2 separate regions of the Mus musculus genome follow, and region 1 is reported to be linked to region 2. The links are microRNA targets in miRTarBase. Many come from high-throughput screens and were not tested one by one. Region 2 holds a microRNA gene; the other region holds the end of a gene's coding sequence.

Region 1 (4,392 bases), not on the chromosome of region 2:
GGAAAGGGTGATAGCTCCGATCATGTTTCTGTAGGAGCCTTAGGAAAACTTTCTTTCTGCAATACTGATGGGCTTTTAAAAGCACGCGCTAAATGAAACAGTTGGCAGAGCTAATTAAATACGTACGTAAAGGATAACAGTTTCAAGAGCTAATTAAATTTTTGCAAAATTTTCTGAAATTTTATAGATTATAAATTTTGTTTAAGTGCCTGAGTCTTCTGTGAAACAAATCGTTGAGTGTAGGAAAGCTCTTTATTTTTGGTGCACTGAACGCTGTGATCAGCTAAAATGGTTTTTAGCAGAATACCTCGTCTTCATTTACTGAACTTGTAAAGTGGGCTGTAAAGTGGGCATTTTTCAGTCTCACTATTTCAGGCCCAGCGTTAGCCATCTGTGTGTCAGAACTCGGGTTTTAGCAGACATACAATGTTGGCAGCTCTCTAGCCAGGTACATTTGGCCTCATGACTGGGTTTTTCATTGCAGATGCTGTTGCATGAGAAGGCGGAGGCACTGCAAGGAGAAGCAGAAGAATTACTGAGATTGCCTGCAGACCTCCCTGGGCTTGGGGGTCCCAGCTCTGAAAGGGCAGGAAGCCATGCTGGGGACGTAACTCTGAGCTAGGGCATTTGCCTGAGATGCCTCCGGCCCTGGAATAAATCCTCAGTACCTCCAAGACAGAAGAAAAGGCCGGGGGGTTGTAAACTGCCCAGTGGTGAGCACCTGTAACGCAGCACTCGGGAGACAGGACGGACAATGAGTGTCAGAAATCAGCTTCAGCTACACTGAGAGTTGGAGGCTAGCCTGGGCTGCATGAGTCCCTGTCTCCAAAAGAAAAAACCCCATGAAGCTGTCTGATGTATGTTTTTTAATTTGACTTATTTATTATATATATATTTTATTATTGAAAATCCCCCGTGTAAATGAAATGTGTATTTTAATTATACATTAAAAGCTGTGGATGAGCTTTTAGAAGGCGCTCTGGGTGATTAAGTCTACCGTCACCTGTAACTGCCGAACCATCTCACTGATAACCCATTTCTCCTAGTCCTGAGTTCCTGTACATTGTTTCCTGCTCAGAATTCTCCTCAGCACACCCAGCCTGACCTGGCTCTTTGCTCACATCTTTCACTGTTTTCTTACCTTCTCCCCGCCCCCCTGGTGTCTTGTTCTTGCTGACAGGTGCCAACGACTGACACACGTGCTGACTTGTGCTGTGGTGCTGCGTTGTAAGCTCAGCTGTCACCCTCATTTCGCCCATCAGTTTGCACCAAAATTACCAGAACCCTGTGTGTCCTAACTGATGTGTTATCATCATTGTATGAAAGTGTTAATATACTTCTAGTGTCAACTCAATACTCAAATCCTATCTCTGTGAAGTTACTCCGCACTCATCCCCGTAGCCCTTACAGGGTGCTCCCCACTGAGCACTGTGAAGTTACCCCATACTCATCCCCATAGCCCTTACAGGGTGCTCCCCACTGAGCACTGTGAAGTTACCCCATACTCATCCCCATAGCCCTTACAGGGTGCTCCCCACTGAGCACTGTGAAGTTACCCCATACTCATCCCCATAGCCCTTACAGGGTGCTCCCCACTGAGCACTGTGAAGTTACCCCATACTCATCCCCATAGCCCTTACAGGGTGCTCCCCACTGAGCACTGTGAAGTTACCCCATACTCATCCCCATAGCCCTTACAGGGTGCTCCCCACTGAGCACTGTGAAGTTACCCCATACTCATCCCCATAGCCTTTACAGGGTGCTCCCCACTGAGCACTGTGAAGTTACCCCATACTCATCCCCGTAGCCCTTACAGGGTGCTCCCCACTGAGCACTGTGAAGTTACTCCATACTCATCCCCGTAGCCCTTACAGGGTGCTCCCCACTGAGCACTGTGAAGTTACTCCATACTCATCCCTGTAGCCCTTACAGGGTGCTCCCCACTGAGCATTCCAGGTTTTCTTTTCCTTTCGCTGTTATTTCAGGAATGTTCTATGTTTTCACTAATAACGTTTGTGCCACCTAGCATACACCACCATTTACAGAATAAGAATGTCTGTGGGGAGAACCACGTTAACAATTTGAAGACTCTGGTTTTTTTATTTTATAAACTCTATTATTAGAAAAAAAAACTTGCAAATGATTAAGCACACTTACATACACCAAAATTAACCAGAAATAATTCTTTTCAAGACTCTCTTAAGTACAATGTTTCCTTTATCAGAATTATAGTGAAAAAGAGTTAACCTGGGACTGTGGAGAGACTTGGTGGTCAGAGCACTGGCTGCTCCTGCAGGGGACCAGGCTTCAACATCCACATGACAGCTCACAGCCACCCATAACTGACCCCAGGGGATCCACGCCCCATTCTGGTCTCCACAGTACACACACCTGCAGGCAAAACACCCACGCACACTAAAAATACAAGTTAAGAACTGTTTAGCAGCTAAGCCAGGATAAGGAAAGATGGGGCCCAGCAACATTACAAGCACTGGACTGGTTTGGGTAAGCACTTACTGGTTTGGGTAAGTTCTGATCACCTGAGCAACTTCTATGGGAAGGTTTTCAGAGGAAAGTTCACGGCCACCTTCCGTGTCCTGACGTAGTAGATAACACCGCACTCACTGACATGGTATTATTCACTGTGTGTCAGAAGCTGCCGCTTATGCAGTCATCCTGGGGCTGTGAGGCAGGTGCTAGAATCCTCACTGCGTGGCTGAGTGAACTGGAGAGGTTAAGGTAGCTTATCCAAGGCCATAGAGTGTTAATTGCTAGACAGGAATCCCAAGGCCATAGAGTGTTAATTGCTAGACAGGAATCCCAAGGCCATAGAGTGTTAATTGCTAGACAGGAATCCAGATCTGTGCGGTGCCCAGCCTGGTGCTCATGCATGCGTTATGTAAGGTTACTGAAGGGACTGGTGTCAGCACAAGACGCCATGACCAGGTTATCAACACATAGGAGACTCATTTGTCCCAGAGAGACAAAGGACAGGAGAGACAGGAGGAGGGAGAAGGGGACGGGAACATGAGAGGGGGAGGATATTTACCCCAGAGGGACAAAGGACTGCCTCTGAATAGAGAGGACAGACGTGACACATAGGAAAATGGCAGTTTATAAAGGTACAAGGAGAAACCTTGTGTTAGGATGAGGTGTTTAATTTTAAATGGGCATGTTAATTAGTTGAGTGAAGGGGATTTTTTTAATTATTATTATTATTGCTGGGCTTTAATAATTTGCTAGTTGGACCTTGGTAGTCAACCTCAGGAGGAGGAAATGGCCAAATCAGGGAATAGACCCTGTGGCCAGTTTTAGAAATCTAATCATTGTTTACAAGGCAGAGGGAATGGGGAAGGGCCTGCTAAAACCCTTCAATTATTTTGGTGGCTCTGTCTGTGTTTCCCTTTCAAGTGTTACTTTCCTCTTGCGTGACAAGACTTTTCCTGGGGAGATACAACACACATCTCTACTAAACCTAGATAAGGAGCCCACTACAGACCTCATTGCAGATACCACCAAAGTCCCACTTGGTGAACCAGTATGTCTTATTGGGATTACTAACATAAAGAGCAGAAATGACTGAAAGACAACTGCACCACCAAATCTCACCGCAGCATGCGTGACAGCTCATGAAGTTGGGAACCTGGAGCACACTGCACAGCCTGCGTGCTGCTCAGAGGGTTGACGAGTGTCCCAGGTGGCTCACTTCATCTAAGCCTCTTCTCAGCACCTTGGCTGGCTTTTATTGCTTACCCTGAGAGGGAGGGGCCTAGTGAATCTGGTCAGTTTCAGGGACTTCCTGAGGCTATTTGAGTTGTTCCCCTCTGTCTTTGGAGTTTTCTATGAGATGGGATGATTCAGCCTCAGAAGAAACTGCTACACAACACCCCCAGCCTTGACTTTATCCTGGCCTTGCATCCCTATTCATGCACCATCTCTAAACTTCTTCACTCATACCAATGTCTGACATCCTAATGATTTAGGAGTCTCTTGGGCATCACTGCACATACCGTTTATTACAGTCAAACATATAAAAGAGCAGCTGGCTAGACTGCTGGCTGCTTTGAACATCTAATAGAGGCTCCCAGTAGGGACATCACTCCTCAGTTTTGTTACACCTGGAAACCCCAACTTTATTTATTTAGTTTTCCCGATTAAGCAAGGTTCTGAATAATTAATTCTCACTAATTAATCAGAGAGGTTTTTTTGGTTTGGTTTGGTTTGGTTTTGGTTTGGTTTGGTTTGTTTTTTTTGTTTTTTGTTTTTGTTTTTTTTTTTTTTTTTGGTTTTTTTTTTTTTTTTTTTTTTTTTTTTTTTGGTTTTTCGAGACAGGGTATCTCTGTATAGCTCTGGCTGTCCTGGAACTCATTTGTAGACCAGGCTGTCCTCGAA
Region 2 (4,392 bases):
GAACCAGGCATGGCAGATAAAACTCTGACGTAAACAGATAGGTGGACTTGTGTGTGTGTGTGTGTGCGCGCGCACGTGTGCGTGCATGCGTGTGAAGACTCTTTGACACTGTGTCAAATCTCTGAGAGAAACAGTTGTTTATGAAGAAAGATTTATTTGGGTTCATGAGTTCACAGACTTTGGTTCATGGTTGACTGGCTCTCTGGCTGGGGGCCTGAGGCAGGGAAGGATATCGTGATGTTCCTGTGATAGGCTGAAACTGCTTGTCTCTTGACAACCAGGAAACAGAGAGGAGTAATCGGAAGTGGGGGTGGGGGGGAGAGGTGTCAACATTTACCCTTTAGAGGCATGTCCCAAGTGACTCACTTCCCTCAGCTAGGCCCATTTTCTACAGTTCCACTCCTGCCTAATAGTTCACTCAAAAGTTTAAACCTATCGATTAATGAAACCATCCATTCGCTAGGACGGAGCCTTTGTGTTCTTGTTGTCACTGGGAAAGCCCTCACAGACAGAGCCAGGGGTGGGCTTCACTAGTTTTCTTGGGTCCCCCTCAATGCAGTCAAGTTGATACTCAACAATTAACCATGACAACAGAGCAGGGGGGAAAGCAGGGATACCCTAAATAGAAGAACTTCTTATATTAAAGGCATTATATCTACTGACACGGCTCTCTCCAGAAGCGGGCATGGATGCAGCCAAAGTGCCTCAATGTGACAACAAAGGGAGTCATGTTTTCCCCACCCCCACCCCAATCCGTTTCTCCTCATAAAGATGGTAAACTGGTTTTATCCATCGCCTGGCACTAAGCCAGCAGACACAGTTTATACACGTATGAGAAAGCAGCTGCTCTGCTGTTTTGTACCGCGCTGGGAGGTTGGCTTGGCGCTCACCTTGTTGTGGCACCATGGCTACTGTCTTGGTATGCTGACAAAGCCAGATGTCTGGAGGTCCAGAGACCATGGCCACAGCAGCCAGTCTGCCAGCTGCCTTGCTGAGAAAGCAGTGCATGCCCTGTGTTCTGGAACGAGTTCTCTGCTGCATTAGGACACTTTCGTGTGTCTTTTATATACACAGGAATATAACCTTTAGACCTATGGTTACTGTAAGCCATTACATTGAGTTGCATTATTTCTAGCCATTTCCCCCATCCCTGAAGATTCAAGAACTTGTCAGCAATTTGGTCTGATCAATAATTCTACCGTAAATTTCCCCCTACAAATAGGTTTTCCTTTTTCTTAACTTTCGATTTAGAAGTTCTTGAACTAAGGTTCTCCCCAAACCAAACAAATTTACTTTGCCACCCAAGATGTGAACTGTTAGACATTTTTCCTTATAACCATGCCAACTTGGGTTCTGTTATTCAAATATTTTATTTGTGAAGTCCATCAAATGCATAAGAAAGGAATAGCAACCCGATCCAAACTCCAGGAAAGTACAAAGGAAACACTTCCAAGTCATGCTCTGAGTCCACCTCTCCTGATGCAAAAGCCAGGTAAAGGCGTTTCACGTCAGGAAGACGATAAATGAGTAGCTCTCGTGAGCCTCAGTGAAAACCCCCTCCTAAGATTATTAGCGGATAATGTAAGACAAAAAGTGGGATATTGACATTTCCTAACGTTTTTGGATATTGTGGGCTTCCTATTTTTAAACTTAATTTATTGTATGGGTATCTTGCTCCTGTGTGTGCCGTGCGTGTGCCTGGTATTCTCAGAGGGCAGGAGAGGGTACCTGTGTCCTGGGACTGAGGTTGAGGATGCTAATGCACTATCCTGGGGATTCTGGGAACTGAACCTGGGTGCTCTACAAGAGCAACACGTGCTCTTAACGCCTCAGTCATCTCTCCAGCGCCCGCAGACTCCCAGTTTTGATGGATGAAGATTTCACTCTCTTAAATCACATCTCCAATTCCCTACCCCAGTTGTCCAAATACTTATACTAGCAAGTCACATTATAGAGCTCTGACTGTGCTGGGCTCACTCTGTAGACGAGGCTGGCCTCGAACTCACAAAGATCCGCCTGCCTCTGCCTCCCGAGTGGGATTAAAGGCGTGCGGCACCACTGCACCTGACTTTCTTATCATATTTTTCCTAAAACTAATACCTACTTTACCTTTTAATTTGCCTAACATTCTTTAACCCTAGCCATAATTTCTTCCATTTTCAAAATGACCTCTCATACTTTTCTTCAGGGCACTCACATCTGACTCTGCTAGTATGTATGTATGTATGTATGTATGTATGTACTTATTTATTTATTTATTATTTTGTTGTGGCATCCTGCCATTAGTTCCCTGTGTCAGGGCCTGCTGTCCAGCTGTCCCCCTAGGCCCCCTATTGCTGCTCACCTGCGGTTTCCCCTGCATTTCTCTGCAGATGAATTCCTTACTTCCTGGGTTTCCTGTCTTCCTTTTTCTGGGTTTACCTTTGTTTTTTTTTTCCAAGTACACCTGTCTCTAATTGGTAAAAGGGTAGTATAGTCATTCAGAAATCTAGCGTAGATATTTCTAACGATCCTTCCCCCTCTAGAAACCCCCAGAAGTGAAGCAATGAGGAGTCCTTTGTGTTTCTGGAATAAAACAAACTTCCCAAGGCAGGCAGATTGCTGTGAGTTCCAGGCCAGCCAGGGCTACACAGAGAAACCCTGTCTCCAAACAACAGCAACAACCTCAGAGCACAGTGCAGCCTCGCTGGCAGGCAGCTCCAGAGTGTGGCTGTCCTCATCACTCTCCCTAAGCAGGTAGATGGGTTTCAGTTCACTCGCAGTCCAGGGCCTCCAGCGGGACAGTTGTAGCTTTCAGTAAGACAACTCCCTCACCCAAACAGGGCCACGTGACTACCAGTGGAAGGGTGTGCCTTCCCAAGTTCCCTCCATCTTGGTTTGAGTTGGAGGATAAAGGGAACAAACACCCATGCCTGACTTTTCTCAAACGCATTACCTGGCTCTTGAGGGCCTCATGTGTAGGTCTGGGGATTTGTACTCTTCAGGAGTCTAGTTCCAGGGGCCCCAGGCTTGACTGTCAAATTCTGAGCACTCCTTACCTAGAAGAAAATGATATATGGCTTGTCTAGAGTTCAGTCACCCAGTTGCCTGGTGGAAAAGACCCAGACACCAACTTCTTTCAGAAGCCATGCTCTGGTGCATTGGTGATTCCTTTGAGGGGAGAGCATATGTTTGAGCAGGACTCCAGTGGGAGATATCTGGGGTAGGAAAGAATGGGAGGGAACTGGCTTCTTCCCATTACCACTGCCCCAGTCCCTCTACCTTCTGCCCTAGAGCAAGACCATATTTTGCTGTCAACATAGAAACACACACTATGAAGCCAACCAAACTTCTTAGCCTTGTCACCACAGACTACAGCTGAGGAAGATCTGTCTCAGTCTGGGGGCTCTTCCCAGTCACCCCAAGTTTCCCAAAACATCTAAGTGTATTACAGATTTTCATAATTTACCTAGGATGGCAGAAGGCAGAGGGTATGATGAAGACAACCTCCAGCCTTCCTAACTTGTACATCATATTATTCCAACCTGGATGGGTTGCCTTGCTCGCCTGGAAGGTGGTTAGTCACCTTCCAGGCAAACAAGGCCTGGTTGCTTTTTTGAGACAATCTTTTGCTATGTAGCCCAGGCTGCCCTTGATTTGAGATCCTCCTGGCTCAGCCTCCAGAGAATTGGAATCACGAGTCTGTACCACTATTGGCACAGTCCCCAGTTTTATTAGAAGCTGCCCCTGAGCATCATATCGCCTCTGGTTTTGTTTATGGGAAGCCCCAAGCTTCACTGTGCACTTAGTTACCTGGCTGAGCCACTTACTGGGACACCAAATCAGAACCTTCCGATCTGTGCCCCTGAGCTTGCCTTCAGCCTTCCAACTGTGACTGACTGCCAGCTGTCTCCCAGCCTGCGAGGACAGCAGGCTCAGAGTCTCAGCACTCAATAGTTTACTTGTGGATTTGGAGAAATGGCTCAGTAGTTAAGAACAATTGCTGTTCTTTCGGAGGACTAGTGTTTTGTTCATAGGACCCACGTTGGGAAGTTCACAACCACCTGTAATTATATCTCTGGGAGATTCAATGCCCTCTTCTGGCCTCTATAGGTACACACACATATGTGTACTCTCTCTCTCTCTCTCTCTCTCTCTCTTCCAGTTTTCTCCTGATGTTGCAGAGTATACTATTTTTCTTCCTTTCCCCAATAGTGAAAACTGGTGTCCTGGTATGATCTCAGTGTGCTTTAGCTAAGAAGATTCTTAGAATCTGAGGCTCCCATGTTACAGAGAAATGAAATAATAAAGGCAGGAAATAGGTAGCTACCAGGTGACACCGTGTAGTTTGAACAGTTTCTACATTGAGAAATGTGATGGTGTGATACTGTGCTCAGCATTAGGGGAACACTA

What was found. Region 2 holds the annotated microRNA mmu-miR-681 (CAGCCUCGCUGGCAGGCAGCU, at 2,679-2,699, shown strand). A microRNA usually pairs through its seed, bases 2 to 8, with sites in the 3' UTR of a target mRNA and lowers its output. Matches are read on the target gene's strand: a 7mer-m8 pairs with bases 2 to 8, a 7mer-A1 pairs with bases 2 to 7 and ends in A, and an 8mer does both.
Region 1: the mRNA of Helq is a reported target of mmu-miR-681. Seed matches in the 3' UTR shown: 7mer-A1 at 794-800.

What each region holds. Positions count from the first base shown.
Region 1 is chr5:100,758,729-100,763,120 of GRCm38, reverse strand. It overlaps Helq (helicase, POLQ-like), which reads left to right. Exons shown (of 18, transcript NM_001081107.1): 18 at 485-973. The coding sequence ends at 622. Among named protein-coding and RNA genes, the nearest start is that of Gm36619, 34 kb to the right of the region's middle.
Region 2 is chr12:69,762,230-69,766,621 of GRCm38, reverse strand. Mir681 (microRNA 681) reads left to right here and starts at 2,678; the gene lies at 2,678-2,787. All of the region lies in intron 3 of Cdkl1 (cyclin-dependent kinase-like 1 (CDC2-related kinase)), which reads left to right.